Linked DNA regions of Ovis aries. The protein of the gene in region 1 purifies or fractionates together with the protein of each later gene. This does not show direct contact. Links are inferred from orthologs where the notes say so. Each region holds a gene or a part of one and is shown in the gene's direction. Other genes may lie near its edges. The genes, in order: LRRC59, STAU1 and YBX1.

Evidence for each region.
Region 2: the proteins of LRRC59 (region 1) and STAU1 purify together in Homo sapiens (affinity purification with mass spectrometry; 3 studies listed by BioGRID). This does not show direct contact. The link is inferred for Ovis aries from reciprocal best matches to the Homo sapiens genes LRRC59 and STAU1.
Region 3: the proteins of LRRC59 (region 1) and YBX1 purify together in Homo sapiens (co-immunoprecipitation; 3 studies listed by BioGRID and IntAct, with this or other methods). This does not show direct contact. The link is inferred for Ovis aries from reciprocal best matches to the Homo sapiens genes LRRC59 and YBX1.

Annotation. Positions count from the first base shown.
Region 1 is NC_056064.1:36,027,966-36,031,395, forward strand, and holds the end of LRRC59 (leucine-rich repeat-containing protein 59), read left to right. Parts: intron 1-962; coding exon 963-1,207; 3' UTR 1,208-2,892; downstream 2,893-3,430. Other genes in the region: crossover junction endonuclease EME1, read right to left, coding at 3,160-3,336.
Region 2 is NC_056066.1:77,263,148-77,266,799, reverse strand, and holds part of STAU1 (double-stranded RNA-binding protein Staufen homolog 1), read left to right. Parts: intron 1-126; coding exon 127-265; intron 266-1,489; coding exon 1,490-1,655; intron 1,656-3,652. UniProt on the Homo sapiens protein: Binds double-stranded RNA (regardless of the sequence) and tubulin.
Region 3 is NC_056054.1:17,197,717-17,201,368, forward strand, and holds part of YBX1 (Y-box-binding protein 1), read left to right. Parts: intron 1-30; coding exon 31-120; intron 121-417; coding exon 418-720; intron 721-833; coding exon 834-916; intron 917-3,652. UniProt on the Homo sapiens protein: DNA- and RNA-binding protein involved in various processes, such as translational repression, RNA stabilization, mRNA splicing, DNA repair and transcription regulation.

The DNA of each region.
Region 1 (3,430 bases):
GGCTGAGAACATTTCCCGAACAGGGAGTTGCACTTTTTGTAAAGGTTAGATTCTAAAATCACCCAGAAAGGTGAAGATCACTTGTGGTCACATGACTGTTAGAAGATCCTCCCATCGTCCAGCAAGTGACTGGGCTCCTGAGTGTGTGGTGCTGTCTCAGTGGTGCCAGCGTGGTCTGTGATTTTCTTTCCGAGTTGGACCAGATCACTCTTTAGTGAACACAGAATTACGTGGCCTGCATTCAGGAAGCCATGTCACGTAAAAAACACATGAGCGTTTTGCCTGAGTATGCCCTGTTGGATTTGTGTAGCAATGTGGCTCCATGTGTAAGTGAGGACTATATCTTCTGGGCCAAAAGGGGCCCCTGAGGGGAAGGCACCTGAACAGGGAAGCTCTGGGGAGGGGAGGCCTGCGCCTGTCCCTGCTTACCCCGCACTGGCTATATTAATTGCAGAGAATTTCTGTATATATCAGAAAATGGCAATCACCTGTAATCCCAGTTCCAGTATTAATCACTTTGGCCAATATGTGTGTCAGGCTATTTTATATATTAGAAGTATTTATAAATTTTGAACCTGTTTCCCCAAATGGGCAGCACTCTATCCATGCTTGACACCTCCTGATAAAGCCCTGCCCTTGGCCCCAGGGGCCTGGATCATTGGCATGTTCTGGAGGAGAACTTAGGACCCTGGGGACTGTATGCTACATGAGACATCTGCATCAATGAATCCGCTTTCAATCTACTCCCTGAGATCCAAGGGACAAAGTTCATGTTTCAGTCTCTGCATAGCAAAGTTTTTAAGAGCTCAAGTCTCCTTGTAATTGTGCTCTCCTGAGGGCCTGGGGAGTTTTCATCAGAGTGGAGGGGTGTGAGTGGATGTGCACGGAGGTGGCTAGCACTGACTAGAGCGCGCCTCTCCCTAACTGCCTGAACTCTGTCTACTGTGACTCTGCCCCTCCAGAATCTAAGTCCGGCTCTCGCCCCCGTAAGCCACCACCCCGGAAACACACTCGATCCTGGGCTGTGCTGAAGCTGCTGCTGCTGCTGCTGCTGTGTGTGGCTGGCGGGCTGGTTGCTTGTCGGGTGACCGAGCTGCAGCAGCAGCCCCTCTGCACCAGTGTGAACACCATCTACGACAATGCCGTCCGGGGCCTGCGCAGCCATGACATCCTCCAGTGGGTCCTGCAGACCGACTCTCAACAGTGAGCTTGTCCTCAACATCTGCTGCCTCCCAGCCTTGGAGCTTGGATTCCTATGGAATTGGGTTCTGCTGGACACAACCTCTTTTTAGTGTCAGACCTACCTGCCATCATCAAATGGCTGCCATTTGGTACCTGAGACCTCCTCTTTGTAACACTTCTTTGTTCCTCAGTCAGGGTTCCCTGGTGGAATAAGGAGAAATAGGAGGTGTGGACAGTTACCTGCATGCTTAAAAGAATAGGCTTGGGTTAGGGAGAGAGCCTTTTCTAGTTGTTATACAAAGCTGTGTAAAGGCAAGACGCATTTCTACTAAAGGTCAGCTGTCACTACATTTATACTTTTGTATGTCACAGACCCTTTCTTTCATTCCTCCCTGGGGAGCCAGGGCAGGTCAGGAGGCAGTGTGTTATTGGGGACTAGGGGAACACCATACTTGGCAAATCTCATCTAAATTGCGGGGGAGGGGCATACCTACTTTTTAAGGATCTCAGACATTCAGATATTTTAACAGCCATACAAAATCTTGGGCTGTGACAGGACTTCCAGATTATCCAGTCCAATGTAACACTTGTAGACAGGGAGACTGAGGCTTTCCATGACTTGCCTATGGTCTTCCAGCTAGTCTGTGGGCAGAACTGGATTCCCACCCTGGTATCTTTTTTTCCCCATCATTTTACCTTCTTTATAATGTCCTGAGTAAACAAAACTTACACAAGAATTGGGTGTCTCTTGGCTGGAGTGTAGAATCTCTCATGGGAAACAGACTTATGACCTATAAATAGAAATCTCATAGCCATAAGGGTCTTGGGCAGCTCCTGCAGTCCTGCCACAACTTATGTGGCTTCTATAAAATGGGCACAGTCCAGGCTCCTGGCATCAGTTTGAGAGCATTAATCACTTGATTGCCAATAAACAAGAAGCTGGATCCTTGCAAAGCCACATTGTCTGTGACAGCCCTATTACATAATTGGTGTGACTCAATACCACATAGGCAACCTGAAAACTAAGCTTCATAGGAGACTTGATGTTTAGCATTGATCCTAGACATCATGGAGTTTAAAAGTGGCACATTAACCACTAGCATGAGCAAGGCAGCACTGTCCACTCCCTTTATCTGCCAGAGTAAGCATTTTCTTGCTCTGTGGCCTCCTTCACCTCTTTTCACTACATCAGAAATGGCCGTCATGGTGCTCATTCACAGAATACTCGTGATTGAAAGCTCCCTGCCTTTCCCCAGGGAGATTGAGAACCTGGCATGTTCAGAGACAGCGGGGTCCAGCTTGTCAGCACTAGTGGCCCATGGATAGCACTGACGCTTGTGACTGTCCCAATAATGGAAGAAAAGACGTATTCTTTTCTCCCTCAGGGAGAACTGCTGCGTAGGCCCACAGCTTACCCAGAATCACTATACATTCCTTTATTTTTCCTCTAAGCTCCAGAGCCAGTGGTACAAATGCTTTATTAAAATTAAACACAGGACATAAGATGAGATTAAGAGAATACAGAAGTTGGCACAGTGACTGGATCCCCGTTCCTTGGCTGGGTGAGGGAGCTCCGGTGGGTCGGGGGAAGGCAAGAGCACGTCCAGCCTCGTCAGGCCACCAGCTGAGGGCAGTTCACTTGTGGCCTGGAGATTTGATGCTGGGGTACTTTTGGATTTCTACGATTATTAAATACATGTCTGAGTGGTCTGTCTTTGTTCCTTTGTATTTTTGAGGGCTGCCTGGGGTAAGGGCAGGGGCAGTTCATACATGGCAGTTGACTTGCTAGGAGAGGAAGGCATCTCGGCCTCCACCCCAGGTGGGCAGGTAGACACACTATCACAAATGGCAACACCAAGGAAAGCCTGCTGTGGGCAGGACCCAGGCTTGTGCTGCAGGAGGTGCTCCTCATTCCTACACTGTAGTCATGCTGCAACGGTGGAAACCAGCTTTTCATCCTTATCCTGAGGGCTGGCTTCAGTCTGCACTGTCTAAGGAGAGATCTGGCTGCAAAGCTGTCATCTGAAGGTAGATACGCCTGGACAGCTCTGGTCCAACACGGCGCGAGGTGGCTGTCACGCCTTCCCCACGGCGCACCTTTAAGTCTGCGAGCAAATTCTGGCGTTCTTGCTCAGAAAAACACCGCTTATAAGCCTGAAAGTAGTAAATGAGCTGTTAATACCACACCACCCACAGCCATTCTTCATCTACGAACAGAGGATAGGAAGCTTGTGTTGGAGGATGAGAA
Region 2 (3,652 bases), on another chromosome or scaffold:
TACTTAGAGCCGTTCATGAAATGCATCATGAATCCATTAGTAGAAAGCATGCTATTCTTTTTGATTTTAGTGAGTGTCATTCTCATTTCAGGAAGAAAAGTTCTTTGTTTTGATTCTGTGTTGCAGAAAGCATAACCCCTACTGTAGAGCTAAATGCGCTGTGCATGAAACTTGGGAAGAAACCGATGTATAAGCCTGTCGACCCTTACTCTCGGGTGCAGTCCACCTATACCTACAACATGAGAGGAGGTGCTTATCCCCCAAGGTACGTGTCTGTTTTGTTTTAAATCCAGGTGAAAGTATAGTTGCTCTTTCATGTGGAATAGTAAGGTGTATAGATTGTAGAATGCATAATGGTCTGGTCCTCTTCTGCCTGCCAAAGGCCTCCGCCAGTCTGAATTGTCCTGGTGTCACTGGAACTGCATTTTGATGCTCTTCGAACTCCTGTCATTGGAAAGGTCTTGGGCGCATTCCTCACAAGCAGTACAGCTCGAGCCCCAAGCAATCTGGTTAAAGACCACCCATGTAACTGCTTTGTGCAACTGAGTCATATTTGAACATGATTCTTGCGACACCACAGTTCTCAGCCCTCAGATTTATTGATTATTGTTTACTGGGTACTTTCTGACTTTTGAACTTACTTATGTGCTTTGTAAATAGCCTTGGTATACAGGTGCAGAGCAATATTAGTTGAAATCTGAAAGTGCCATGCATTTAAAACCTTCTGCTTGAGGTCTTAAGACACTAGTGGAGAGATTGATGATCAAACTGGAGGTCTTCATTTCCCTGCCCTACTTTGGGGTGGTAGTCAGGTGGAGGCCAAAGCCATTTTAAAAATAGAAACCAGCCTCTGCCAGGCTCTAGGCTGTTGGGATTTCTAGAAATGTGGGTCCAGTCAATTAGTTTAAATATAAATGGATCCAGTCGTCTAATTGAAAGACACAAGAGTGGACAACTGAATTTAAAGAAACAAAAGACCCAGCTATATGCAGTCTATAAGAGACTCTGCAGTTTCAGGAGCACACAAACTTTATTCCATACAAATGGAAACTGAAAGAAAGAAGAAATAGCTATATTTATATCAGACAAAATAAAGACTAAAAGACTGGTTTAAAAAGTCCCATTCTTTTCTGGAGACATGAAAGTGTGCATTCCAGGTATGAGAAAGTAGAGCAAGTTAAATTTTCTTTCTTAACCAAAGTCTAATCCATTTTAGATTTTGTAAGTATGGGTTAGCTTTATACATTGAACCCATGTAATTTGTAAGCCAATTTATTTTGTGAAATGTAAACAGTGTTTGCTCATACTGTGTGGCAATTCTAATCGAGCATAAACACATGAAATCTCTGGATGTGCTGATGAGGACTCATTATTGGTGAGCAAACACTGCTGTAATTAGGACCTGTGATGAAGGAAATACCTGGAATTTGTCAGAGATGGTATGGTGACTTATCTGAGACTAATTTTCCTCATCCCCTTCTATTTTTAGGTACTTTTACCCATTTCCAGTCCCACCTTTAGTTTATCAAGTTGAACTTTCTGTGGGAGGACAGCAATTTAATGGGAAGGGAAAGACGAGACAGGCTGCCAAACACGATGCTGCTGCGAAAGCCCTGAGGATCCTGCAGAGCGAGCCGCCCCCCGAGAGGCTGGAGGTGAGGCGAAGGCTGATCCGGGGCCCCTGGAGCTTGGGGTGGAGCGGGAGGGTGGTAGGAAGACATCGTTTCAGGTTGGTTTTTCTAAGAGGATGCATGAGAGCTGTGCTTAATGTTTATTGTTAGATAGCATACAAGCTCTGGTACCCTGAGGGTTTCTTGCCTTTCTTGCCCCTCCACCCACCTGGGAAATTTTAGCAGGAAAGTCAGGTGCCTTCTTGTGCACTCAGTGGCGTGGTTCTGAACATGTTAGAAGGATTGTGACTCACCTGAGTGGTGAAGAGCATGCGATGAACTCTTCGATGCTGAACATTATTCTTGTCATAATCTGTGTTTTATGGTACCAGGTTAGGGGATTTTCTGAAGCCATTTTGACCAGATGTTTTCTTTATTATCTTGAAATGCCTGTTAACCATTTGTGCTTAACGAACTGTCCCAAGACTTCGTGGCTTAAATACCTCCAGGCCTTTATCCTGCTCTCAAGCCTGTGGTCCAGGGAGAGCGTGGCATGGAGACCTCATCTCTGCCACGCAACGATGCGGCGCCGCGGTGCTGGAGGGTCTCTTCCAAGGCGGTGCTCTCGCTGGTTGGCTGTGTGTCGTCTGCGATCAAGGAGGGGGCATTGGTCCTGCAACCTTGGTTCCCGTCCTCTGTGGCCTGAGCAGAGACTCTCTATACACTCTCATGGTGTGGTGGCTCAGTCCCAGGAGGGCACATTCTGGGAGACAGGAGTTGGAAGCTGCCACCAGTGTCTCAGGGCCCTGGCCTAGAATTCAGCCCAGCACCACTTCTGCCGTATCCTGTAGGTCAAACAGGCGGGGAGCCCAGACTCAAGAAGGGGCTACAGGAGCTCACTTTTATTTATTGATTTAATTTTGTGTTGAGATAAAATTCACATAATTTCATAGTTTTAACTTTTGTAAGTATACAGGTCAGTGACCATTGGTACGTTCACAATGTTGAGAACCCCACCTGTGGATGAGAGGAGTATCAAAGAATTGGGGACTTATTTTATTTTATTTTTTTGGTTACAGCGTGCAGCTTGTGGGATTGTTCCCCAACCAGGGATCCAGCCTAGGCCCTGGGCAGTGAGACTCCGGAGCCCCGTCCACTGGACCCCCAGGGGACTCCCCTGGGGGCTGTGTTTCAAAATGATCATGATAGGTATAGGATGTTGTGACTAAATAGAAATATATGTTTTAGAACATCACTAAGTCATCACTAAAATGACTCCATGCTATTGTGTGGCCAAAGCATTAGTGGCTGGCTCTGATAAAGCAGTTGGATCACCAAAGGTCCAGGAGAGCCCACTGAGTAGAAAACGTTGTGATTTCATGGTTCTGTTTATCACAGCGTGAAATGCCTCCTGAACATATCCCTTGGAAGCATTTGACTTTTCTTGCTCAAGAAACAAGTTCTCAAACAATCAGAAGATCTTGCACAGAACGTTGGGCCAAATGCGTGATGATAGGTATGAAGCTGGGGGACCTTTCACAGGGTGCTTGCAGAGGTCTGTTGTGTCCACCTGTCCCCTAGGGTGACCCAGCTCAGGGCAGCACTCTGTGGCTTCATGGCTAGTTGCATGGGAAGGTTTTGTTTTCCTTTTGTTTTGGTGCATTTCCAGCTTGAGTGCAATCATACATTTTAGCAGAGATGTTCTATTTCCAGAGTTCACTGAGGACCAAATAGAAAGAAATGGACTATAACTTAGGAGGATTTACTGAAGTGAAAGGATGAGGTCCTTAGTGGTGAAATTTGTTAAAGTACTGAAGGTAGTGAAATCTGAGTCATTTTTGGAGGCATTGCATTTGTTGCGTTGACTTTGGTGCTAATCTAATTGGAATCAGATGGAGTAGGTATTTCTTGGTTCCTTCCAGCGAGCAGCTGTTAAATGATTACTGAACACTGGTATGTGGGCCGTCTGTTTCGGAATCACTTGAGAACTTAAAAAAATTCCTTGGCCTAACCCACACGATTCTAGATTCTAATGCAGTAGG
Region 3 (3,652 bases), on another chromosome or scaffold:
TAATCTATTTTTGGAATGTGATATTACTAGACTGCCATAAAGAAGAATAACCCCAGGAAGTACCTTCGCAGTGTAGGAGATGGAGAGACTGTGGAGTTTGATGTTGTTGAAGGAGAAAAGGTGAGGATGCTTTTTGTGTAAAGGTTTGACTTCAGTATGGAAATATTTTGGAGATCTCATCCATTAGGATGGTGGCTCTAAGGTGGATGGATGGGTCAGGTGACCACTTGAACACAGGTGCACCAACCCTAATGTGCTGGCTGCAGATAGAGGGCTACCTCTTCAGAACAGTGAGGAGCTAGTGTTAAATCATTTCTCTGCACCCCTGGCCACAGAGACCCTTTTGTACTTTTTGTGTGCGTTTTGCTGCGTGTCCTTAATTCCATTGTCACTATGACTATATGATGGCTTTTGTAGGGTGCGGAGGCAGCGAATGTTACAGGCCCTGGTGGAGTTCCAGTGCAAGGCAGTAAATACGCAGCAGACCGTAACCATTATAGACGCTATCCACGTCGCAGGGGTCCTCCACGCAATTACCAGCAGAATTACCAGAATAGTGAGAGTGGGGAAAAGAATGAGGGATCGGAGAGCGCTCCCGAAGGCCAGGCCCAACAGCGCCGGCCCTACCGCAGGCGGAGGTTCCCACCTTACTACATGCGGAGACCCTACGGGCGTCGACCACAGTACTCCAACCCTCCTGTGCAGGGAGAAGTGATGGAGGTAAACGGATTTTATTTCCTTCTAACTGCTGCTGTATTCAGACTTTTGTCTGGTTGGGGTTTGCGCTAATGTAAATGGAGTAAAATTTGGCTTGGTCTCCATTGCCTTTTCAGGGTGCTGACAACCAAGGTGCCGGAGAACAAGGCAGACCAGTGAGACAGAACCTGTATCGGGGCTACAGACCACGATTCCGCAGGTGCGGCTTGCGTTTAGAGTTGACTGGAGCGCGTGCTACGACTCGGCAACAGCATGCTGCTTCTGCAGGCTTTTTCAGTCATTTGTCTGTTAACACTTCACATTTTCTTTCATCAGATGCCTAAGAGGTGAACCTGAAGTCAGTTATCTTTGAGAATGTGTTCTTTGCATCTTTGCTGGCACTGGTTAAAAACAGCTTTATAGATGTGGTCTACTTTTTGCAGTTGGTTTTGTTTTTGTTTTACTCTAATGAGGGTATGGAATTTCCCATTTCTGTCCTTTAACAGGTAAGAGAATGGTAGTTTAAACTGCATTGTATTATAACTTTAAGACCTGATTCATTGGGAGGGAGAAAAGTAAAGGTAAGCGTACCTTTTTAACAGAAGGTGTTTAATTATTAGAGGAATTAGGGTAGAGCTTCACAGGCCAGATAGGTTTAATGCATATATGTAGTAAAAGGTCTTAGAATATTGAGTCTCCAGATGTGATCCCTAAAACTAACAGGTAGCATCTGTCTAAACCTAGACACAGATACCTTGTTGAAATACTGCAAACAATCACAATGTCAGCTCTTAAATAGTGATAAGTGTTTATCTGTGATAGTGATAAACGGTCTAAAATAGGCTTTCATACTCTGTCCCTTTAAATCCCGAGGGCAGTATCCTTGGTCTACTTCTTGTTACGTTGTAGAACTTTGCCAATTTTCTACCTATTTTCATTGGTGTGTTTAAAAACAGCACATGAATTTTTGTTGAGTGCTTCAGTTTTATTTAATGGTCTCATTTGAATATATTTATTATAATCTATCGATGAATGCAGGGCTTTCCAAACTATTTAGTCAGGAATTTTTTGTTTGAATAGTAAATGACACATGCTACTTATAATCCAGGGGGTGAAATGATTGATGCAGATCCAAGAGCAGATTGTGAGAAATCTGAGATCAGTATAGCAGGAGTTTTGCTGAAAGGAAGATAGATGAGGTGGCAGTAAAGGGAAAGGAATCATTAAGAAAGGATTTTTTTTGTTTGAGAAATAAGAGCTTATTTGTAGGCTGAAAAATGCAATTTTTAAAAAAGGGTACTTGTCAGAATTATCTGCTGCAGCTATCTTCAGTTAGGATTGGGTTTGGTCCATGCAATGGGATGTCTTTTGCTGGGAACCGTGGATGTTGCATGTGTAAAAAGCCAGAGTTTATGGGCACCAGTGTGTTGGTGAAGTCAAAAGGAAAGGGGTGAGAGGTTTGGGACAAATATGTGAAATTATCTGTAGAAGAGAAATAGCGGAAGTCAAGTAACAGTGATCACAAATTTAAAGTGGGTCCACCAAACATGCTTGTGCTTTTCCAGCCATTTTGAGCAGCAGCCTCAGATTAAGCAGAGTTAGATTTGTTCAGCATTTGTCTACTCAAAGATCCTGGGTTTGGGTTTGATGATAGTCATTAGTGGTAGACCTTGCACTTCCGAGAGAAATGAGAGAAGAGGATTAAGGCAGAGTTAAGGGACAGAATGATCGATAGGATTGTTGGATTATAGGTCCTAGTGGAAATAAGAGTGGGAGAAGAAGACTCCTGGAATACACCAGGAAAAGAAGTAAAGGGTGACTAGAGAGTGGAGTGCTTGAAACTGAGAGAAGCTAAGTAGCAAACAGGAGTTGCATGGGAGGCAAAGTGGCCGCCTCGTGCGAAGAGCTGACAAGTTGGAAAAGACCCTGATGCTGGGAGGGACTGGGGGCAGGAGGAGAAGGGGACAACGGAGGATGAGATGGCTGGATGGCATCACCAACTCGATGGATGTGAGTCTGAGTGAACTCCGGGAGATGGTGATGGACAGGGAGGCCTGGCGTGCTGCGATTCATGGGATCGCAGAGAGCTGGACACGACTGAACGACTGAACTGAACTGAAAGAATCTAAAAGCCCATGTTATGTGGAACTGTCGTGATAATTACAGTAGGAAAAGGGCAGTAAAATGGAACATGACGTTAAGATTTGAAAGGTGGGATTTTAGAATTCAAAAGGCTACAGGGGAGGGCCAGGGCAGTTTTGCCGAAGACTGGTCAGGAGTTCCCAGACACATGGGAAAACCGTTTCAGGAGAAGAGGTGGTGGGGGCTGTGGGGGGCGGGGGAAGTTGGGAGGGGTAGGTGGAAGACTAGAGGGGTTAGCGGTGAGAAATGGAATCGTAAATAGTTAGAGCTGGAATGACCTACACAGGTGTAAAGGCATGCTGGTAATCCTGGTGTTTAAAGTGTGAGACTCAGTGGATTTTAGTATATTCACACCAGCCCCTGGCTGCTGCTTTCCTTGTCTCTGTATTTGCCTAGTTTGTGTCTGGCTTTCACCTCGTGTATTTGTCATTCATGCCTTTATCATTAGTACTTGATTTCTTTTTATGACCAAATCAGGTTCCGTTGTATGGATATTACATTTTGTTCTTCGTTAACTTGGTTGATGGGCATTTGGGTTATTTTCACATCTTGTTGTGAATGTTAAAATAATGCGTGGTGGATATTGTTTTGGATACAGATCTAGAAGTAGAACTGCTAGGTCATTTAGTCTCCAAGCTGTTCTACAAAGCTGCTGCACCATTCTATATAGCCAGACCAGCCAGCAATGCATTGAGGGGTTTTTCCACCCCCTCCCCAGTGTGATTGTTTTCAGCTCTCCTGGTGTGTATGAAGTGGTTTTGATCTGCCTTTCCCAAACTAATGGTTGCTGTGTACTTTGATTTATATGAAGATA